Linked DNA regions of Caenorhabditis elegans. The protein of the gene in region 1 interacts with the protein of each later gene in a pairwise test. Each region holds a gene or a part of one and is shown on either strand. Other genes may lie near its edges. The genes, in order: ztf-20, F49E2.2, tra-4 and spc-1.

The links.
Region 2: the proteins of ztf-20 (region 1) and F49E2.2 interact in a two-hybrid assay, tested with the Caenorhabditis elegans proteins (one large-scale study listed by BioGRID).
Region 3: the proteins of ztf-20 (region 1) and tra-4 interact in a two-hybrid assay, tested with the Caenorhabditis elegans proteins (one large-scale study listed by BioGRID).
Region 4: the proteins of ztf-20 (region 1) and spc-1 interact in a two-hybrid assay, tested with the Caenorhabditis elegans proteins (one large-scale study listed by BioGRID).

What each region holds. Positions count from the first base shown.
Region 1 is NC_003283.11:18,957,024-18,962,023, reverse strand, and holds ztf-20 (C2H2-type domain-containing protein), read left to right. Parts: upstream 1-1,851; coding exon 1,852-1,933; intron 1,934-1,976; coding exon 1,977-2,095; intron 2,096-2,179; coding exon 2,180-2,373; intron 2,374-2,434; coding exon 2,435-2,620; intron 2,621-3,377; coding exon 3,378-3,552; 3' UTR 3,553-4,457; downstream 4,458-5,000. Other genes in the region: Y39B6A.43 (DUF4124 domain-containing protein), read left to right, coding at 276-473, 608-923; hrg-10 (DUF833-domain-containing protein), read left to right, coding at 4,718-4,847.
Region 2 is NC_003284.9:9,565,700-9,573,328, reverse strand, and holds the start of F49E2.2 (SH3 domain-containing protein), read right to left. Parts: upstream 6,034-7,629; coding exon 5,901-6,033; intron 4,547-5,900; exon of another isoform or gene 4,422-4,546; intron 4,294-4,421; exon of another isoform or gene 4,273-4,293; intron 3,951-4,272; coding exon 3,819-3,950; intron 3,779-3,818; coding exon 3,728-3,778; intron 3,092-3,727; coding exon 2,940-3,091; intron 2,888-2,939; coding exon 2,649-2,887; intron 2,566-2,648; coding exon 2,382-2,565; intron 2,340-2,381; coding exon 2,193-2,339; intron 1,250-2,192; coding exon 1,082-1,249; intron 1,011-1,081; coding exon 873-1,010; intron 823-872; coding exon 728-822; intron 684-727; coding exon 491-683; intron 1-490. Other genes in the region: moc-5 (GTP 3',8-cyclase), read left to right, coding at 7,350-7,514, 7,621-7,629.
Region 3 is NC_003284.9:2,853,144-2,859,053, reverse strand, and holds tra-4 (Zinc finger protein tra-4), read left to right. Parts: upstream 1-1,808; 5' UTR 1,809-1,816; coding exon 1,817-1,882; intron 1,883-1,933; coding exon 1,934-1,998; intron 1,999-2,779; coding exon 2,780-2,979; intron 2,980-3,032; coding exon 3,033-3,579; intron 3,580-3,631; coding exon 3,632-3,890; intron 3,891-4,300; coding exon 4,301-4,621; intron 4,622-4,886; coding exon 4,887-5,013; intron 5,014-5,065; coding exon 5,066-5,112; 3' UTR 5,113-5,375; downstream 5,376-5,910. Other genes in the region: comt-1 (Catechol-O-MethylTransferase family), read left to right, coding at 46-371, 423-521, 832-888. UniProt on the Caenorhabditis elegans protein: Probable transcription factor. Promotes normal hermaphrodite (XX) development, in concert with histone deacetylase hda-1 and nasp-1, perhaps as components of a complex.
Region 4 is NC_003284.9:3,124,041-3,128,643, reverse strand, and holds the start of spc-1 (Spectrin alpha chain), read left to right. Parts: upstream 1-1,582; coding exon 1,583-1,785; intron 1,786-1,838; coding exon 1,839-1,923; intron 1,924-2,900; coding exon 2,901-3,026; intron 3,027-3,078; coding exon 3,079-4,603.

The DNA.
Region 1 (5,000 bases):
AAACCAACACGATTGAAAGAAAACTTTTTCACTGAAAATAAATACACTCGATTTTGCGCGTTCGAAACAAAATATATACAATATTTGAATCACTTCGAGCAAAACTATTGTGGTTTTGAGTTTTAATTCGATATATCTATTCAGAAATACTGTAAAATATAGGGATTCAGATGAAAAATTGAACAAAGCTATTGTATTTTTTTAAAGAGAATGTAGAATTTAAACAAAACCAATTTTCTTGAGCTTTCCACCTTCAAAAACCGAATTTTTTGCAGTTTCCCGGGATCCCCTGAGTACGCTGTAATTGTATACTACTGGAAAGGTGAACCAATTCAATTTGAGCCAGCTTTCAAGCAAAATGGAGTACGAACAGAGTCTAAGGAGTACTCGAGATATCAACAAATTGCTGATGAGGAACAAGAATTTGTGGAGGCTACTGGTTCTATGGATCCTGTGGTAGAAAATTTGCAGAAGTACGGAATTCGAAATTAAATATAAAAATTTTGAAAAAAAAATTTTTTTTTTTTGAAAATCTCAAATTTCTATTTTCTATTTTTCAATAAGAAATATCATATTTAATGTTTTTTAACAAAAGTTTTTTTTCCAGAAACCTTGCCCCATCACCACCACCGCTACTAAAACGTGTCACCTTCCCACCGGAACCCCAACAATCCACGTCATCAACATCGGCTGAAAACCTTCACGAGCTGAAATTACAGCTTATTCGACGAGAAATGCAAAATCAGGACAGATTTTCGGCGGTTTTAGACCGGGCCGACGGGCTTTTGGCTAGAATGGAGCAGAGATTCGGTGTGGAGCACCACCACCATATTGTACATCAGGAACAAGAAGAAGAAGTGTGGGATCATGAACAAATTATTGAAGAAGAAGAAGTTATTGTGCAGGATACGATGGAATATTGAAATGATTTTTTAAATTTTTTTTAGTTTTTGAAAATGCGAAAAATTTAAATTTTGAAATAAAAAATTTCAAAATTTTTTTTTTTGGATTTTTGTTTGAATTTTTTTAATTTTCAAAATAAATAAATAATTGTTTTTTTTTTTCAATTTTGAGTCACTTTTACACAATATGGTTTCGAATTTCCATTATAACTTAACGACAATTGTAAAAGTTGAGCCTTGCCATGAAATCTACAGTAACCCGCTGGTTTTCTTGTATGTTTTTGAAATCAGGAGATCACAGCGGTTCGAATAAGTATAATCATGACTAGGTTTCGAATTCATTAATTTTTTTTTGAGTTTTGGGTCCTGCCACGAAAACCAAAAAACTAGCGGAACTCGGCAAATTTCGATCGAAATTTCTAGTTCATAATAGTTTTCAAATTGACATGAAATGCGCGGTTTGAATGAGTATAATCACGACTATTTAAAAATTTTAAATTTTTGGGTCCCGCCGCGAAAATCAGAAAAACTAGGATAACTCGGTGATTTTCGATCGAAATTCCTGAAATTTTATAGTTTTGAAATCAGCATAAAATGGCGGTTCTAATAAGTATAATCATTACTAGACTCCGAATTTATTTATTTTTTCGAGTTTTTGGGTCTCGCCACGAAAAGTGTGAATTTTCGAGCAATCGATTTCATTTGACATTATTAGAAATTAGTATAAAATGACGGTTTAAATAAGTATAATCATGACTAGGTTTGAAAAGTTTGAATTTTTGGGTCCGGCCATGAAAACTTCTGGTTTTCGTGGTGAGACCCATTTTCTGTAAATTTTTGGAATCAGAAGACCACTGCGGTTTGAAAAAGTATAATCATGACTAAGTTTGAAAATTTCAGAAAATATTCGAATTTCTGGGGGGTCCCGCCACGATCAACTAATTTTCAGATGGAAAGCTTCTTAGAACACCTAGAGCAACTCAAACACGAATTTTCACAACTACCAGACGTTCATCTTTCAGAAGCAATAGGTTTGTAGAGACGAGCAAAATTTTTTTAATTTTTTGAAAAAAGTACTTCCAGAACGTATGGACGCAGCAGTTGAAGAAATGACACAAAGTGTGATATTTATTGAGGATAACTTCCAAAATACACAGGAAGAATGTCTAGTGGATATGGGAAAACATATGGTGGTACGTAATTAGGGAAAAGTTTGGGAAATTTGGAATTTTGGTCGCTGCTAATTTTTTGGGCGCTGCAATTTCTCATCATTTCAGGAAGATTTCTTGGATCCATCCGCCGCTGATTTTCTCGGTCACCTGGAGCCGTCTACGTCATCGCAGGATTTCATCTACTATGATGACGTGGCATTAGACACTACTACGTCATCGTCGTTCGTCACGTCACAACCTAGAGAATTGTACTGTTTTACGTGTGGAGATGCATTTAACAATCGGAAAGGGCTTTACAGGTATATTATATTTTAATTTAAAAAAAAAACAGAAATTTTCTTTAAAAAAATATTTTCTCAGACACGGAAAAACCGCCGAACACGCGACACGACCTCCTCGCCGAAAAATTGAGCGAAAAATTCAAATTCCCGCCGAACCGCCAGAAAAACCACCGGAAATTCCGAAAAAATCGATAAAAATCTGCGGGGAAAAATCGATTTGTGCGGAATGTTCGGGGAGTTTTCCTAATCGAAAAGCACTTTACAGGTGAGAACGCCCAAAAAATTAGCAGCGCCCAAAAATTAGCAGCGCCCAGAAAATTAGCAGCGACCAAAAAATTAGCAGCGCCCAAAAATTAGCAGCGCTCAAAAAATTAGCAGCGCCTAAAATATTAGCAGCGCCCAAAAAATTAGCAGCGACCAAAAATTAGCAGCGACCAAAAAATTAGCAGCGCCCAAAAATTAGCAGCGGCTAAAAAATTAGCAGTGCCCAAAAAATTAGCAGCGCTCAAAAATTAGCAGTGCCTAAAAAATTAGCAGAGCCCAAAAATTAGCAGCGCCCAAAAATTAGCAGCGACCAAAAATTAGCAGTGACCAAAAATTAGCAGCGCCCAAAAAATTAGCAGCGCCAAAAAATTAGCAGCGCCCAAAAATTAGCAGCGCCCAAAAATTAGCAGCGACCAAAAATTAGCAGCGACCAAAAATTAGCAGCGACCAAAAATTAGCAGCGACCAAAAAATTAGCAGCGCCAAAAAATTAGCAGCGCCCAAAAAATTAGCAGCGCTTAAAAAATTAGCAGCGCCAAAAAATTAGCAGCGCCTAAAAAATTAGCAGCGCCCAAAAATTAACAGCGACCAAAAAATTAGCAGCGCCTAAAATATTAGCAGCGCCCAAAAAATTAGCAGCGCCCAAAAAATTAGTAGTTACCAAAAACAGTTTCTATTGATTTTTGCAGATTTTTAATCGATTTTTCTCTAAAATTTACAGATTTTCACGATTTTTCTTAAATTTTTAAATATTTTCAGACATGGAAAACAAACAAATCATCAGACACATTTTCAACGTGGAATGAATATTAAAGGAGGATCAATTCGATGCGAGAAATGCGAATATAGCAGTGATAGTGAAAAGAACTTGAAACGACATTGTCAGAGAAATCATTCGAAATTTTCTGCAATTTCTGATGAGATTTTATTGTAAAATTCTAGTTTTTCATCACCTTTTACCTCGGGTAGCAACTTTGCAGAGTTTTAGTGCAAAATTCCGTCAAGTCCGGTGTTTTGAGTACGGTAGTCGGTGTTTGCGTGCTTTCGGCGCTACAGTACCCAAAATTTCTCAAATTTAACTCTAGAAGCCTATAAATAGACGGATTAGCTCAGAATTCGATAAAAATTTCGAATTTTTCAGTAAAGTATACAAATACCAAATGTTAACTGCGGAAAATACCATAAAATTCTAAATGCTTGAAATTTCAGCATTTTTTGAGATTTTTTCAACCTTTGCAGTGTGAAGTACCCGAAAATGTTCAAATTCAGCGCTAGAATACCGGGAAAAACGATTCTCACTCAGAATTCGACGGGAAATTCGAATTTTGCACATTAAAACATGAGAATTCTCAATTTTTAGTGTCGAAAATCAATATAAATCCAAAAATCTGAAATTTCAGCATTTTCCGAAGTTTTAAACATTTTTTCAGTGTGAAATTCGAGCTCTCCGACGAATTTCACATCTATATCATTCTTTTCAGCGTTTTTGTGCAAAATTCCGTAGAATCCGGTGTTTGCGTACTTCCAAAACTACAGTAACCCAAATTTCTAGATTTTGGGCTAGAAGCTCCAGAAAAAATGTAAAAGGCTCAGAATTTAAAGGAAAAATTGAATTTAATATGAAATTTATGGAATTTTCAAAAATAAAAAAATTTGGAAAAAAATTATTTATCTTTTCTTTTTTGTATTGTTCCAGTGTATATATTGTTTTATGATCTCTGATTATTGTTCTCTTATCTGATATTTTTTTGTGATAAAGAAAATGTCATCATTTTTTCCCGCGTTTCTGTGTGTACTTTGTATGTTATTTTCCCCGGGAATAAACTTTTTTTCTGCAAAAACTTTTGCACTGAAGCCTATATTGTGGTCATATGTGTATTGTAGCACTGATAATATTCAATGTTGAAAAAATTTGAAAAAAAATTTTTTTTGAAATTTTTTTTTTTGGAAATTTTCTTTTGGAATTTTTCATTTCTTCAAACTACTTCTCATTTTTGTTCAAAATTTGCAAATTTCCAACACTTTTCACCCAAAAATTCAAAAAATTCAAAAAATTCAATTAAAAATTCATTTTCGGATTTTTTCCAGAGTTTTCCAAAATGTGCATTGGATTTATTAAAATTGCTACTTCACCCAGTGAAAAATACAAATTAATTATTCTGAACAATAGAGATGAGGATTTGGACCGGCCGACTACTCCCATTCACTGGCACGATGGGATGCTGAGTGGTAAGGCTGGAAATTATCACTTTACAGGGAAAAATTGGAAAAATTGAAATAAAGAAATCGAATTCCGCATATTTGAAAACCTATGTGAAGGTTTTAAAAAAATTAGAAAATTTTAAAATTTAGAAAAAAAAATTTTTTTTTCAGAAAATTGAG
Region 2 (7,629 bases), on another chromosome or scaffold:
GATAAAATTGTGGAGGTGACTAATGCATGTTTCAAAATATCTAACAAAGAACAACATCAACATAGTTTTCAACTACACTATGTTTTGCAAGTATTCTCTAATTCAATACTAAATATTACAAAGAGCCTGTTAGACAAATGTTCAGTAAGGACTTGTTTGAATGTAAAAACGAATTCCATAAATTAAATATCTCGAACCAATGCTAAGATTTTTTTGATAAAAAATTAATAACCTTAAATTGATTTTGATTAAAAAAAACATTCATGAAACTCTACTCATGTAGGCTTTCAAATCCTATAATAGTGTCAAATTAAAATATTGATACAGGCAAATGTTACCACTTTTTTAGGGCACCGGTCTGTTGTTAGAAATTTTATCGGTTTGCCGTTTTGCTTGAAAGTTTTATATTCTTTTTGTTTTCTTCTTGACGTCACAAAAAGTAACAAGTTTTAGTTTAATTTTTCAAAATTATTTAGAAAGTTTTTGGTACCTTGTCTCCACGATTCACAGTCATCTGTTCTCCGGAAGAAGCATTGAAATCATCGTTAACAATCAGAATACTTCCATATTGTGATGGGTTGAAGAATGATGGAACCGAAATATCTGTACTATGATTGCGACTGTGTTGTTGTGCTTGGTGAGATGGAGCAGCCATTGGAAGGTAACTAGAATCCACGTGGAATCTGAATATGTCGTTCTTTTTTTCAAATTTCTTGTGAGTACTCACTTTTTAGCATTCATTTGCTCCTCTGTCACTGGATTATCGACGACTCTCCCAACGCGAATATAATCGCTGGTAACAACTTGATAAGGCGTGCTATTCTGAAGGATTATCACACTTGAAAATTGAAAATTACACGAATAGTTTTTACCTGAACAGGCGTGTAGCGGACATTTGGCTGAGGATTTGATTGATTTGCAAATCCGAAAACATTAACAGCACCTGGAATTGTGTTTCCAGCACGGCGGACACCACCTGGAGCGCTATTAACCGGCTGTTGAGGCACTTGCTGGAAACGCATAGTTTTATCAAAATGGACAAATAATAGCGAGTGAAAAGATGATTACACCAGATGCTTACCTCGGCGACAACATTATGACGAGGGGCGTATGTGCTCTCCTCCTGGCGTGTGACTGGAACTGGTTGAGCGCGAATCGGAGCATATTGGGGGTTTTCGACAACTGGTTTTGGCGGCAAGACTGGTGGAGCAATGTGGGAGTAGCTGTTGTTGGGTGGAAGTTGTTGAATCTGAAATTAATACGGCAATTAAATTTTTCTTCGAAATAAACCAGTTGCATTTACTGTTTGTAAAAACCAATGCATGGTATTTTAATTCGGGGCACGTTGTGAATACATAATAAGAATATGAAATGTTTTTACTGCAGTTCAAATCTTTGATAAAAACTTTATGTGAAAGATTAAATAAAATATAGTAATGTTATGTGAGGTAATTTTGAGTCAAATAGAGCAACTATTCATACGTCGCTATTCTACCATTAAACAAACACGTGAAGTTGTTACGAAAAAATTTTGATAATTATGTAACACGTGAAAATAGTTGTTCTTCAGTCAGCCTTTTAAAATTCGCGTAACATTTCTAAAACGTGATAGAAAGATTGCCAAGATTTCAAAACCAAAGTGAAAACTCAATAAAATCTAATTGACAAAACGATGCTAATATTTCTTTTTTCGATTAAAGACTTTTGCTTCGATGTTTACAAACATTTTTGAATTCTATTGTTAAATTTTGAAAACACTGTGTTGCTGATTGAAAGTTCATGCAGGCTTAACTATGAATAAATAAACTGATTTTAATCTAAATTAAAATTCAAAATGTTGCGTTTTTTATTGATTTTTATCCTAGATAATTTAATAGCACATGCGGACATTATACAAACATTAAAAAATAGTGTTATTGCAGATGCGAATTTTTCAAAATAGGAGAAATTTTGAATACCTCCTTGCTTCAACAGTTCAAATTTTAAGTATCCTACAACTAGTCCGATGGCTTACACATAGTAATAAACTTTGAAAATGTGAGTGTTCTTTTTTTTTAATACAAAATGAAACGTATGTATTATAAGTTTTATGTACGTGATTTAATGTAACTATGACCTATTGTTTATACACAATATTGACTTATAACAACTTTGAAACATTTCTTCACATGACATATTAGTCCTCAACTAACCTCAATTGATTGACGGCGATAATTACTAACCAGTGTGACTCCGGAAACGTCATTTGTGAGACGACGAGAAGATGGAAGATCCTCTAGCGTTGTTGCAACCGATGAAGTCGAATTGCTGCGGCTGTCCTGTACAGCTTCATCTACTTTCTGAAATTTAATATGATATACACGCATTAAATTGTGTTTTACCTTTTCAACATTCTCTTTAATTTCCTCAGCTGCAACAACGGCGGCATGCTCATGTAAATCTTGATGCCAATCTTTGTGGTCTTCTGGTATGGTCTCAATTTCAACCGGTGCAGCGATCACACTCCCAACTGCTGGCTGAACAATCACTTCTTGGGCTTGGAATAATTTCCCAATTTCGACGTATCTGATAATATTTTATGAGAGTTTTTTTTTCCAGAAATTGAATTAATGTTGCTATTTTCACAATTCTAATTACATTTAACTCACCCGTGAATCCAGGATTGCAGCTTGTCATTGAAAAATTTGTATCTCATTTCCTGTTGTTTTGCCCAGCTGGCTGCTTCTTTTTTATGGAACGCGGTAATATCTTGTTCAGTTTCTCCATTTTTGCGTTTCAGAAGTTTTTTTTCTTTTGCTTTGTACTCAGCAAATTCTGTCTTCAGCTTGTCTTTTTCCTTGTTGCTATAGTCATGAACTTTGTGTGCCAGCGCGTCAAATTCCGTAATCTATGTTTAATTATATATTGAATGCGAAACTTTTCTTTAGATTGATGCTTACGACTTTTTGATGAGCATTTACTCCCTGTACAAACTCTTTAAAAACTTTTGAAAGCTCTCGAGCTTCATTTTTCGATTTGTGTCCAGCAGTATCAGCTGATTTGATAAGTTTGTGAGTGGCATCACAATAGTTTGACAATGCTTCTTGGAACACTGAAAATTGCAAATTTTTATATACTCTTGTCATCTTGAAAACTTGATGTGATTATTGAAAAGCTATTTTTCTTGACCTACATTGATATGGATTGCAAACGAAAATGTTTCAATTTCCACTCTCACAAAAAATATAGTTTTTGTCATTGAATTTTTAGGCACAAACTATGAAAATATAAAACTCGAGTTCTATGAATGCGTCTTTCAACTACACATGTTTTCATGTGTTGCGATACAAACTGAATTGAGTTATAAACAAATTATTAACACAGAAATGGGATGAGCTGAGTATATTTTATTCACATTATTGAGCCATTGTTACAAACCGTCCCGACCATGATAACTATAATACTTTCAACGTATATTTGCCAACTTTTTGCAGTAACGTTTTCTAATTTTTTTTACTTCTCATCTCTTACAATATTAAGAAACCATGAGATCATGAGAGTGCCTACCGTTTTGGCGCGGGAATATCTCGTAGCGAAGGAACCTATATCTTTCTTCGCCGATTGTTTTCCCTGTTGCCGCTATTTTCGAGCCACAATTTAGGCATTCTCAGGTTTTTTAAAATACAACAAAAGCATAGAAAGAATACTGTGTAAGAGAACTTATTGTTTTCTGATCAAAAATACTTACTGTAATATGTTTTCAGTAGATGCATTCCGGCTTGCCCAAGATTTTTTGCCGCTGAAATTTTGTTGTGTATGTTAACCTAAACAAGAGGTACCTGGCAAAAACTGTGCGGCTAGCTGATCGTGGACCATCTGTGGAATGTTGGCAGCCATTGAAGGCGAAACCTCCGGTGGTACCGCTTGTTCGTCGACCGACATCGGGATGATTGGTGGATACCGATGAGAGACTGAAAACCAACTTTTTGCAAACTGTTTGACATTCAATTTTCATAAGTAATGCACTACTTTTGCGGGAAAAGTTTTATAATATTTTATGGGCAGGGTTGGTCTGTTGTAGATAACGCTTTTGCCATCCGAGAAACTTTCTTTATTGATATTGTTAATTGCTAAAGGCATGCGACACTAAATATTATAAAAAATATACAACTAAACAAGTTATAGAACTTAAAAAAACCCTAAGACGGTGAACCTAAATCAATAAAACACAAATATCTATATTTTTTGAAGAAATAGTGTTATAAAGTCATTTTGTTTGCCAACATTCCTGAATTCCACTTTCCATCATAACGATTATGGTTATCACCGCAACATGTGTCATAAGAAAGGAATGAAACAAAAAATATTTCATTTTTGGAGTAAAATAATGGCCATTATGCCGGCAAAACGCCTAAAACAGTGTACACTCTATAAGAAAATGAGGCGAGCGTACAACCAAGTTCATGAAACGACGCAGTGCGGCAGGCACCTATTGAAAAAGCGTTGTGCAAGTGATAAGAGCCCCGACTTTGGTATGCTGCGTGCGTTTGATTATGTACATTACCCGGGCATCGGCGCCAAGCGGCGAGAAACCTGGCAGATTGGGAGAGTGTGAAACAAAACCAAAAATCGCCGCCTACTTTAAGTTTTTGTGCCATTCTGAAGCGACTATTCTGATTGTGTGAAGAAATACTGTTGACATTTTGACACTATCAATTTTAAGAGCGTGACAACAGAGAATGGTGACATCTGACAAAAAAAAATGACAAGCCGTATGCAACTTTTTGAACAACATTTGAATAATTTGAAATTAAATAATATAAAAATATAAAAAACGCATCGTTTAAGCTTGTAAAGAAACCTGATAGTGAGTGTTATTAGTAAAACATTGAACTCTAGTTTGTTTTAATTGTTTCAATTCTGAACACTGACCCGTGAAGTAAAATAAAATTTGTTTAGAATTAAATAAAGCTATGAATAAAGTACAGGACAACTTTAATTATTGTGCTACAAAAGTTGATCGGCATCTTTACAAGTAACTCGTTTTGTAATTTATTCAAAATTTAGAGAAGTAGTCAAAACTCAAAACTTATTTTAAACCATAAAAAATTATTGATTTAATATACCGCAATTTAAATTACATTGTCATACCAATGTTGTTAATAAGTGAGTAAATAATGATTTTTTGAACATGTATGTTCAAAATTTGCGTTATACATGTGAAACATCAAAGACAGTAGAAATATGTTGAGCATCTTGCTCAATCAAAATAAGTGTATCATTGTTAGGAAAATGTAACTAAACAAAAAATACCACTAGCACAGTTAAGTTAAGTTGCTTATGAAATTAATTCACAAGTAAAAGCTACAATACATACACATTATCACTTAAAAAATCGTGTTTATTGATTTGCCTAGTTTTGTCTTACAGGGACACCTACATTCGGGCATCCCCACATGATTTCCAACATTTCCAACTCCAATTCCAACAATATATTAAATTTCTAGGTAGTGTTCAGAAGACGAGAACTTATATAATGTTACGAACACCTCAAAATGAAAGTTATATTTTCACATGCTTCTCAGAGATATTTGAAAATATAAATTGAGCTGCAAATTATAAAGCTTTAAAATGTAACTTTTTGAAACTAATACTTACATTTTATTCTATGAAAATATTAATGTTGCATTTAAGTTCAGTATTTCCCTCGATACAAACAAAAGTTGACCAACCTTTTAACATGTGGCGAAGTTTTTTGGCACAAAGAGACGCGCGACACAACTGACAAGCATGACTAATGTCTAAGTTTTCTATTCCGTTCGTCTTCTCCCTCCAAAAAAACACGTCGTAACTATCCGGCTAACAAAACGTATGTATCCCGAGGTCGTTTGCCAATCACTCGGACGTATAACCATACTTACCAATCTTGATACTCTTGAAACGATGATTGAGAACATATTTGTGACCGTTAATTTCAAGAGTTTGAGCTGGTAAAGGGGATGGCTGTGGTGGAATGCGAGATTGGTAGTAAAACTCGTCAGTTGCAGATTCCATTGGAGTTTATCAATATTTCGATGAAAACCAGGACAAACAGAACAAAAGAATGGAATGGGATGGGAATGAGGGAGGCAGATTGGAACATTCCGTATTTATTTTTTGCAATTTTATTATTGAATGGATTTTGATAACATGATTTTTTTGTGTTTGTATGAGTCACTTAAATTGATTGAATATTTTTACCCCAAAAATCCTCACCTCTCCATCTCCATAGTTTCATCCCAATCAGCGAAGATCGTCGAGCGCCCAGATTGAAGATGCCAGCTGTAACAATTTTTTTTACGTTGTATCAAGTGCCCTTTTCACATCGCTCTCTCTGTCTCAAATAGTCTATGCTTTATTATACAATGTACAAATTACAGGGGTCACCAAAAGAGTTAAAAAGACACGTCAGAAAGAAAGACAGAGAGAAATAGAGATGTTTGGAAGATGGGACACTTGGAGGACGTGACAACTTTAAAAAAAGGGGTTTATGAGTACACTATATTTTTGGGACACGGTATTTAACTTACTCATAATGGCAACACTCCTTCTGATTTAGAAACTATGAGGAAATGATAGTCAAGAGCACACAAATGTTCTGAAATATATTCGCTTGTTTATCTTTTGACAAACAATGTTGTTGTCTCTTCCAGAAATATTGTGTTTCTAGCGTCAGAATCATATTGATTAAAAGATAATGATAAAACCTCGATTTATTTTCACGAACCATTTGAAAATCAGACATTGATAACTTGCATCAGAAATTAATAACTTGCATCAGAAATTAATTAAGGTGGAGTAGCGACAGTAAGAAAATTGTTAAAAATTATCCATAAAATGCCAAAATGATCAAATAGAATAGTAACACTTTTCAACAGCTGGAATAAAAATTTTTTATTGACATTCAAAAGTTACTGAGTTTTTCAAATCGTTAGACCGAATCATGATATTTCATTTTCATTAAAAATACATTTCCTGATATATAAAGTCCAAAATTCCTGAGCCTCTATCCCTCTTTTTCTTTTTGTTCTCTGCAACACGTTCGTTTTCTCCTTCGTCGACACAAAAATCACTTTTCGGAATTGAATTGCAAATCACCAATGCAGAGTAGAGTGCCCATCAACCTGTATGATGACAAAACATTCCCGTTGTTCCGTTTTGCATTTTCTATGGTTTCAACGCCCACGATTTATGTTTGAGCGTGAGAGCCACAATGTGCTGCTTGGAGTTTACTTTACACCTTTTCTCTAGGTTTTGTTTTTTTTCTCAATTCCTAATCAATAAATTAATCGCACCGCATTTTTAAAAGTGTTTTGATATAAATATTACAGATGAGTTGTCGAGCAGGAAAAAAGTTATTTCAATGGTCACGGGTCAAGTCGTCAACAGAAGAAATTGTAAAACAACTAACTGTTCCATTACGAGAACATGCCGAACCAATACTCACGTTGACGCCCGAACAAAAAAGAGAAGCAGTCAGACTAAAAATTCAAGAGGTATTCTTAAACATATTGTGCAAATGAGCTTCAGAAATCAGAGAAAGAGATAAGAAAATATAAGAAAATTCTGAAAGTTCACTTGTCGTTCATCGTTCAATTTCAGATTGAACAC
Region 3 (5,910 bases), on another chromosome or scaffold:
TGTTATAATGAAAAATTGATTTGTATTGTTAAAATAAACGTTCAGGAGTATTCACTGGTCTTGGATTACTCGGTGTCGCCGAAAGAGTTGATTCTCGAGGAATTGTTGTCGCACTTGAGCATCCGGCCTATGCTGTTTTCTGGGATAAAATTGGGCAGAAGCACGCAAGAAAACTCACGGCTACGCAAATGTCCAGAATTCAAATGAGAACATCTGAAAGCATCGAAAAATCATTGCCTCGACTTGCAACAAATGAACCCAACACTTTCGATTTTGTGTTTCTGGATGATTTTAAGAGGGAAAACTATTTGGATGATTATGAACACGCAATTCGACTGATTCGAAGTGGTGGTCTTTTAATCATTAACCAGGTCCCTCATTTCTTAATTAGAAATAATAGTTTTACGTTTTGTTTTCTCTAGGCACTCAATGGTGGTGGAGTGATGTCATCGATTGATCACATGACCAACGATGACAGGGTCATTCGAAACATGAACATACGCATCAAACAAGACCCCCGGGTGAGAAATTTAACTTAAAAATTTTTGAGACAGTGAAAGGGGGAGTATCGGTTTTGGGTATTTTGAACGAATTTCAAAATGAAACTTCTGAAAAAATTTTCAAAATGTTTTATGGGGATTCAAAATTTAAAAGAAAATTGGGCTTGTTCTCTCAAAATTTGAGCAGTTTTCAGTGTCGCAGCGCTAGTTTTTGTGAAGTTTCAAAACTAAATTCGTTTGTTTGAGCACATTGTTGGTATATACGTTCAAAATACCCTGAACCAATATATTAAGATAACTAATTAAAAATCAGAAACTTTACATTTTTCAGGTTTCTGCTTCTCTACTTCCATATGGTGGCGGCACCTGGATTGTTACAAAGAATTGATATAAAATTTGAATTAACATTGTTTTGTATGTTTTTATTTGCATTAAAACTTCTCAATCGCCACGTGTAAAGTGGTGTTCTTGTCCTCAATCAATCCGGTTCATATGTGTTCATAATTTTGACAATGAAATTTTTTAAACCTTCATATTTTTTTATTTCCATAATGTTACTCTAAACGGTTAACCCAGTGTGCTAGAGGTAGAGTAGAATTTAAAAAAAAAAAGAGCTTTTATGAAAATCCAGAGCAATATCGCGTGTTCCAAACACTAGAATGTTTTAACAGAAATATTGAAAACAAAATTAAAGTATTAAAAAGCGTAGAAAAAACTTTTTTTGTCGGCTTCCAAATTTTGAGTTGCAAAAATAAGTAAATATATTTTAAATAAAACATTTAAACTTTTTTGAAAAGTTTTACAATACTATTCGCCTATTTTGGTTTTAATAGAGAAGTTTTAAACACGTTTTTCAATGCCGCTACTTCATCTTTAAAACATCTGTCTGCGAAGCCTTCGTTCTTTGTTTGAGGACAGGCGGACTAGAAAACCCATAGCATTAACTCTTCCATTTCGTTTTTGAGAGCGTCTCATATATATTTCAAGGTTATTATTTTTACAATATTTCTATTTACAAATACATTTTTATCGGTAATTCTTTTTTTGTTTTTTTCGAAAATAGTATTTTTTAATATATTTTTTAACTAAATGTTTATATCATATTTCGATTTAGTTCCACAAACCTAAATTATTTTATTTTCCAATCAAATGAATTGAAAAAATTATTTAAAATCCTGCAAAAACCAGTTAATCGATGAAACTCTGAAATTCAATGAAGAGACGCGATGCGGTCGCGCTGCGTACGCCTGTAATGTGCAGTGTTTTGGTGCGCGCGCGCGCATACTATCGACCCACTATTTCCCACGGTTCAGGCAATGGATGACCCAAATCAATGCACTATTAAACAGGAGGACTCCATAACGCGACCAAGACCTACAGAGGTGAGTTTCTGTTATTTTTTTTCTAATCTCAAAAATTCTTCCCAATTTCAGGCGCCAACGATACAAAATTTGAAACAAGAACCGGCGATTGAAGAAGGTTCATCCTCAACAATGGAGTAAGTTTTTTTTGTTTCTTTTTATAATATATGTAAAATCCGAAAAAATCATTTACTATATATAAAGCGCTTATTCTGTGTGTCCATAGTTTGTAGTCTATGTGGTCTTTGTAGTCTGTGAAGTTTTGGCTTCTGTAGGGATAGTGAGTTAGGGTTAGTGTAGGGATATAGTCGGGGTACTGTAGTGGTACAATTGTGGTACGGTAGGAATACTGTAGGGTGACGGTAGTTTCATAAAAAATCAATTTTCAGCCCCAGAAGTCGGGGGCCGCGCCGAAGGTGCGGTCCACGGCTGGTTAATCTATATTTGAATTTCGTAATGAAATTTCTCAAAATATTTTTATGTCGGTTCAAAAACAGCCAAACTAGCTGAAATCCTTAATTTTGTCAACTTGTTTTGTGTCGCAGAGGTCGGAAATTTTCTTTTTTGGAATTATAAAATTTTATTGCATATTTTGATAGTACTTTATTTTGTAAATTTGGGTACTTTTGAAGCCGATTGGTGACCAAAAATAACAAAAATTGATCACCTAACAGTTTTAAATGTACCAAACGACCAAATTGTCCAAAGGGATGTTAATTCAGAAAAGTGAACTTCCAACCGATCAGATACGGGAAGTGACCAAAATTTAAGGTTTTAGGTACGGCTAGGCCATTTTTTCCAAATTTCGAACCGCCATAATTGTGAAGATTTCATTACGAAAATCATTTGTTTGAGCACATATCGGGCCTATACGTTCAAAATATGCAGAAAAAATCATTTAATTAATTTAATTTTCAGTAATATGCTGATGCTTACTATCGACACCAACCAAGCAAATTGGCAAGGCACCTACGACGACGATGAGATGGATTTGAATAACAAGACCGATTTGATTCCATTACTTGAAACAGAGAAAACGACAATTAATGAGGACGAGCTCTATGACGACGAGGAGGACGATGACGACGATGAAGAGATCAAAAAGGGAATCGGTTTTGGTAATTTGAAACATCTAACTACAAGTTTTTACTAATAACGTGTGTTTTTTCAGAACTTCTAGCTCAAGCACTCGGAATGTCAGCAAAGGTTCCTGTTGAGAAAGAAGAGCCAGAGAAAGAACGTGCAAAGCTCAGTGGAGTCGGAGAATTTATGAAGCAAATTCGAGGAGAAATCAAGCCCATCCAGAAAGAGCGAATTGTTCTTGATGAGTTGGGATTTCGGGTCAGAGACCCTTCGAAGTTTCCTCCTTGCCGTATTGCTGAAGTTCAACAGACACTAACTCTAGCCGATCATCAGGATGGAATTGATCTTCCTCCACCGAATGCTCCAACGGATGTTCGGATTGTACGCAAGCTGATTCGACAGAAAATGGTTCGATGCAAAAAGTGCAAGAATCGATTTATCGAGAAGAACATTTATGAACGACATCTGCGCGACAAACATCCAGATCTCTACGAGGAATATATTCGTGAACAAGAAGAAGAAGTGGAGCTGCAACGGCTTGAAGAAATCGAAGCAAATCGCATTGAAGAGCTACAAACAGGAGGATTCATCCCGCCGGAAAACGAGATTTCTCAACCATCTGAGGATCCAAACTAGTAGGTTCAGCAGTTTTCCGTTTATTTTCTAAATTTCGTCATGCATTTTCAGTATTCCCCTTCCCGGAGAAAACAATGGCGGCCTGGTCCCACGTTTTGACTATTATGGAAGAATCAAGCAACTAAAGCGTCCGTACAAGAAAAAAGTGTCGCCGCAATGTCCGTTCTGTGATAAACGTTTTAGAAATGAGTTTTCCCTCAAGAAACATTTTGCAAAGAAGCACGAGGAGATGGTCGAGTTTCAGCAGTGTCTCAAATGTTTTAAATGTGTTGAAAATGATGCAGAGATGGCGAATCACGACTGTGAATTGGTAAGAAACAATACAAAAAACTCTAAAAATGTTACCTGGCCAATCAAAAAAAAATTTCCTTCTATTTTTTTAATATTTCAATTTTGTTTCAAATATTAATATTCAAACTTTGTAGGACTCTGATCATGCGACATTGCTATAGTTATCTCAAAAAGTGGCAAAATCTCAGTAATAGCTCCTGTTGGACTAGGGAAAAAAAAAATCAAAAAAGTGTTGTATTTGGCCATTTTGGCGCCAGGGGTTTCTAACAATTTCCCCACTGGCGCTACTTTAGTTTAAAACCCTCATTTATAACAAATAACAAATACACTTAAATTTCTTTATTTTAAAACTTATAATTGAATACTACATTCTGGATCTTTGTTCCAGTTCAAACTAAAGACAAGCTCTTAAATAATTAATATTTTCAGACTTATGTTTGCTTCGAATGTACTCCGATCAGAAATCTTTGCACCGACAATCGTCTCCTAAATCACCGAAAGAAGTTCCATCGTGGAGCGAACTCTGGTTTCCGCTGTTCGTTCTGTAACATGAAGTTCCTTACACCGCGTAAACTTCGGAAGCACAAGAAGATGTCCCATGTGTTCACAAAAACGTTCCAATGTCATTTTTGCGAGGAGATATTCATTAGTGAAGTTGCAGTGATGACCCATGAGAGAATGCATACGGGAATTATAAAGTTTGAATGCAAAGTTTGCGACTTTCGTGCAAACCGATACACTGCTATGGAGGTGAGCTTATTCTTTCACACATTAACTTCAAGTCAGCATTTGTCATAATAAAAAATCACATGGTAAAAATGACATTTGTTTTTTTTTGAAGGGGTGCTCTGAGATAGGATTAACATACATGTAAAAAAGAAGAAAAACAAAAAAGAAAAATCAATGTTATTACGGCGATGAAATCGAGGACTCACAATGAGATCAGATTATATCCTGGTGCCTGCCCTTTTGTCATGAATACCCTTATATGAACTTTTAATTATATTGATTCCAGGAACACAAGAGAGATGAGCATGGATATGTTTGCGCGATTTGTCACGAACGTCACGCGGAATACCCCGAGATGAAACATCACGTGTATGAAGAGCACGGAGGCTACCTGGCAGCAGATGAGCCGACAGGTATCACTGAAAAACGAATGACAGAATTTTTAAAATTGAATTTTAATTACAGCATACGTGGAGACTCCGCGGATGTGGATACTCTACAAAGGCGAGTGAAACTTCTTCATCATCACAGATCTTCATCAAAACTACCACACTTTCATTTGATACATTTTTTTTTCAATTTTTTGTTTGTTTTTGTTTCACTTCCCGATTATGTTAAAAAGGGTTTAATTTTGTCATTTAATGTTGATTGTACTATTACTGTAACACCTCTTACTTTTTTTCAGACCATGGACGTGTTTTAATGTTTTAATCTAGCGTGCTATCAATCATTCAACTTTATTCATGATATACACACAAATAAATCAGGTTACTATATGTAGATATTTTGAAATTTATGACATAGTTCACATTGAATTGCTGAACCTTTCGCTTTTTTGTTTTTTTTTTGCATTTTTGTTACCATGATAACTTACAGGAAATGCTCAGGTGGTAGGACGGTAGCAATCATGAGAAATACAAGTCCTGCCTCCCTTTAGGTTCCCACAACCTTAACGGAAAATATTGGCCACAGTCACTGGCTTGGACGTGGCTTAAAATAAAGCCTAGTGGGAGTACCACCGGGCAGTGTACTTGACTTTCAGATGCGCGGTGCATGGCGCTTCACGTGGTGTGTGGCTGTGCCATCAGGGTTTGATCTACAAAAAATGCGGGAATTTTTTGCCTTTAAAAATTTGACGAGAACTCTGCGTCTCACCTCCCGCATTTTTTGTAGATCTACATAAAGCAAACCAAAATGGGACAATCTAACACCACGTGGTGCTTGAAGAACGGATCAAACTTGAATCCTTCAATGTTTTTAATTTCAAGTATTTTTAATTGGAAAAGTTATAGTTCCATTGGCATTTTTTA
Region 4 (4,603 bases), on another chromosome or scaffold:
TTTCTTTGCCTCTTCTCAGAGTGTGACGAACTCGAAAACGAGAGAGAACTAATAGTTTTCATTTGTGTTTCCTTCTCCTTCATTGCCGTCCTTCACTCATGTGTCCGCAGGAAGTTTTCGAACGCAGGTGGCCTCCATCCGGCACTTGACAGATTTGGCGCGGCTCCCCGTTTCCGGTGTTTGCTCACTTTTGTTATGAACCAAAGCTTGACCATGTCACTTAAGAAAAAAGCCCTTGAAGAATCCCTTTTTCGGCTTTTTGTGTGGATGCTTTTAGATTTGATAGAATGGGGTCCCCTATTGTTTTAAATCATTCAGTTGTTTAGCGTAAGTGGATGTAGTTATTTGAGTTTGGAGGTTTTGTATCGTGGTTTTTAAACTAAAACGAATATTCTTTTGTGCAAAGAAATTTCTAATTTGCTCATTTACTCACTTTTACTTCCAAATTTTGAAGTTATGTTTTTTCGGTTATCCTTCCCGCTTTCCCGCTTCCCGTTTTAATAATTTCTGTCACTTTCTCTTTCATCATCACTTCTTCCGTTCCAAATCGATTACCCAATTTTATTGACAACACATCAGTGAAACTTGCAAATATTTGGAGGACATACTTTATACTCCATCTCCGAATATATACATAAATGTGTGGTCGGTGGTGTGTGTGTTGGCGGAGACCCCGGAGAGAGAGAGAGAGTCAAACTGCGAGTAACTGGAGAGATGGAGGATGATGCATTCGGTGAGGGACTGTGTGCTGTTGAGAGGAAATCGCTGGCATTTAATAGAAGAGTGCGTTTTTGTGAGTGTGTGTGTGTGTGAGTGTGTGTGAGGGCAGTCAGAGCGCGGCTGTGTGCGAGGCTGAGCGGGACGAGCGCGTCCAGGCCTGCAGTCGTCTCCCCTCTTGTTGTCTCTGCTTCTCTAGCCACACTCTCTCGTTCTCTGCATTCGGTTTTGTGTTGGTGTTGTGGACGCGGGGGTCGTTTTGGGCGATCGATAGCTGCCAGCTCTTCTTGTACTTGAACCAGTTGAAGTCATCTCCTTTTTTCACTTTGAGAGCATATTCTTTCTTGTTTCATCATTTTCAAAATTTGCTGCATTGTGCAAAACCCCTTTTTTGTAATGTCTCTTCTGTTTCTGACAGCTGTGTGTTCAATTTCAACACAGCTTGTAAACGGCGGAGTCGGAGTTAGTCTGACTCATCGAAATATTGTTATCAGTTCAAAAATGTTGACAGTTGTGTGGGCTGGAAATGGAACCACCTTTTAAAATTACTTTTGACATGATATACTTTTTGAGTAACACTTTCTTGGTAAATTTTCATTCGTAGAATTTATAAGCTTATTAAATTAAAGCCACAAGCTTTCCCATTTTCTATTATTTTTTGTCTCCCAGGTGATTCTTTTCCGCACTTCGTCATTATTTGTTCCCACGTTGTATTTATCCTCTAAAGCTCTCTCTGATTTTTTTTGTTACATTCTTCTCATTTATTTGCTCATTTGTTTCTGTTACGGTCTCTTCATAATCAACTTTCTTTCATTTTCATTTCTATGGAGGTTTTAAAACAATTGTTTTTCAGCGAAATAAGATTATGGCTGATTCGAATGACACTCATGCTCCACCAGAGCCGGTGCTAGAAGTACCGCCACCACAGGAGATTCGTATTCTGGAGACTGCTGATGACATTCACCAACGTCGTCAGGAAGTATTAGGTCACTATTCAATTTTCAAGGATCACTCGCAGACAAAACGAGATCGTCTCGAGGAAGCTCGTCAGTTTCAATATTTCAAACGGTTAGTTCTAAAATTTTGTTGGGTTGTCTAGAATTCTAATTTTTCTGTTAAAGAGATGCTGATGAGTTGAACGTTTGGATTCTTGAAAAGCTCCAGACAGCTCAGGAAGAAAACTTCAGAGATCCGAGCAATCTCCAGGTTGGTACCATCTTCTCATTATTTCTCAGTCGTATTCATCATCTATTTCAAAGTTATCTAAAACATAAATTTTCTGTGGTTGGTCCCCAGCTTTCCATTCTCAATCCTTTTTGACGACAACTCGCACAATTCTTTTCTCTTGGTTCATTTTCCCTCGGGGGGACACTCGGACCCCTTTCTTCTGCTGCCTTGTTTGGGGGCACACAAATGTCTTTTGGGAGCAACGACAAAGGCGCAGCAGCAAAAATATATTGATTTGAGTGGTTCGCTTCAGCGCTTTTCTCTGTGCCTTCGTTTCGAGAAACGCATCTGCGACCCCCAACATGCATGCTCACTTGAAGATTAGGAACTGAAAGCAATGTAGTGCACAATTACATTTATAAACAATTGGCTCGAGTAGAGAGGAGTACATGTGAATTTTGCTAACTTAGTTATTTTCTGGGAAGCAGAAAAGATGAAAATGAAATCTTTTTACACAATATCGTCATTTTGGAAGATATGAGCGCTAGAAATTAGGAGTTAAAAAGTCTTTGAGGAAACAATTTTTTACTGCTCCTAATATCATTCACCTTTACTTATAATGAAACACACTGAAAACCCAATAAATTCCTGTGGGGGTTCCAATTAATCCTCGCCGCCGTTTTTTATCATGCGTTCCGATCGAAAGATGAGATGAATACATATAGTAATAGACGGGAATCTATAAAAAGTCGGGCGTTCGTACACGGCCTTGACACTGCGTAATCGCAACTGACGTGACCTGACTTGATCCGCCGGTTTCCTGTAATGCCTGGAATGATAAGTAATACTGACGAGTAAGAAGATAGATGAGGCGATTATGTTTCTGTTGCTAGGTTTAGCGGTTGAAAAAAAAATGAGAGTAAGAGTTGACTAGTTTTGAAGCATGAATTGAAAGAGAAAATTTTTTTACATCAAAATGAAAGTATGATCAAATGTAAATCATAAAACATTTTCAGGCCAAGATCCAGAAGCATGAAGCGTTCGAAGCTGAGGTTCAAGCTCACGCTAAGACCATCGCCAACCTCGACAAGACCGGAAACGCTATGATCCAACACAATCATTTCGCTAGCGAACACATCAAGGTACTTAAAATCACTAAAGACATTTGACAGTCTGATGATTAATTATTTTCAGAAACGCTTGGAAGAGTTGCACGCCCTCTGGGATAAGCTCTTCTTCAAACTGAAGGATAAGGGAATTAAGCTACAACAAGCACTTAAACTTTTGCATTTTATTCGTCAATGCGATGAAATTCTCTACTGGATTCGAGAGAAGGAAACCTATGTCACCGCAGAAGACATGGGAATGGATCTCGAACACGTTGAGATACTTCAGCGTAAATTTGACGACTTTTTGAAAGAACTCGGTAACCATCAGTACCGAATCAATGAGATCAATCAAGCTGCTGACAAACTTGTCGAGGAGGGACACTCTGAGCACGATCAGATCTACAAGAAGCGCGATGACGTTAATGATGCTTGGCATCGTTTGAACACTTTGGCGGCCACTCGTAAGGAAGGGCTCTTTGGAGCTCATCAAGTTCAACGCTTCAATCGCGATGCAGACGAGACCCTTGCATGGATTGGAGAGAAGGATCTTGCTTTGTCAAGCGATGATTACGGAAGAGACCTCAATAATGTTCAAGCTCTTCAACGCAAGCATGAAGGAACTGAACGTGATCTTGCTGCTCTTGAAGGAAAGATGCTCCAATTGGAGAAAGAAGCTCATAAGTTGGCAGAAACTCATCCAGATCGTGCTGAAGCGATTCATCAAAAGAACGATGACACCAAAGCCGCCTGGAATGCACTCAAGGAGAAGGCTCAACACCGCAAAGATGGACTTGAGAGAAGCTTCCAGCTTCATCGTTTCTTGGCCGACTACCGTGACTTGATTAGCTGGATTGGAGACATGAAAGCTGTCATCGGAGCTGATGAGCTTGCAAAAGACGTGGCTGGCGCTGAAGCTCTTCTTGAAAGTCATCAAGAACACAAGGGAGAAATTGATGCTCGTGCTGACTCGTTCAACCAAACTGCATCCGCTGGACAAAAGCTCGTTGAGATGGGAATTCCAGAGAGTCCAGAAGTTCAGGAGAAGCTCGAGAAACTTGACCACGAGAAGTCTTCTCTTCTTGGATTGTGGGAGGAACGTCGTATTCTCTACGAGCAATGTATGGATCTCCAACTCTTCTATCGTGACACTGAACAAGCCGAAACCTGGATGAACAAGCAGGAAGCGTTCCTTGCCAACACTGATTTGGGAGATTCACTAGATTCTGTCGAGCACCTCATCAAGAAACACGAGGACTTTGAGAAATCGCTTGCTGCTCAAGAGGAGAAGATCAATGCACTTGACGAGTTTGCTACCAAGCTCATTCAAGGACAGCATTACGCTGCTGATGATGTTGCCGAGAGACGCCAAGCTCTTCTTGACCGTCGTCGTCGTCTTCTAGACAGAGCTCGTCAACGTGGAAATGCTCTCAAGGAAAGCTACAAGCGCCAGACATTTGACCGTGACTGTGATGAGATGGTTAGCTGGATCACTGAAAAACTGTCCACCGCTCGTGACGATTCTTACTTGGATCCTACCAACATTCGTGGAAAACTCCAAAAGCACATCAACTTTGAGCAAGAGCTTAAGGCTAACGAGAACCGTTTGGACG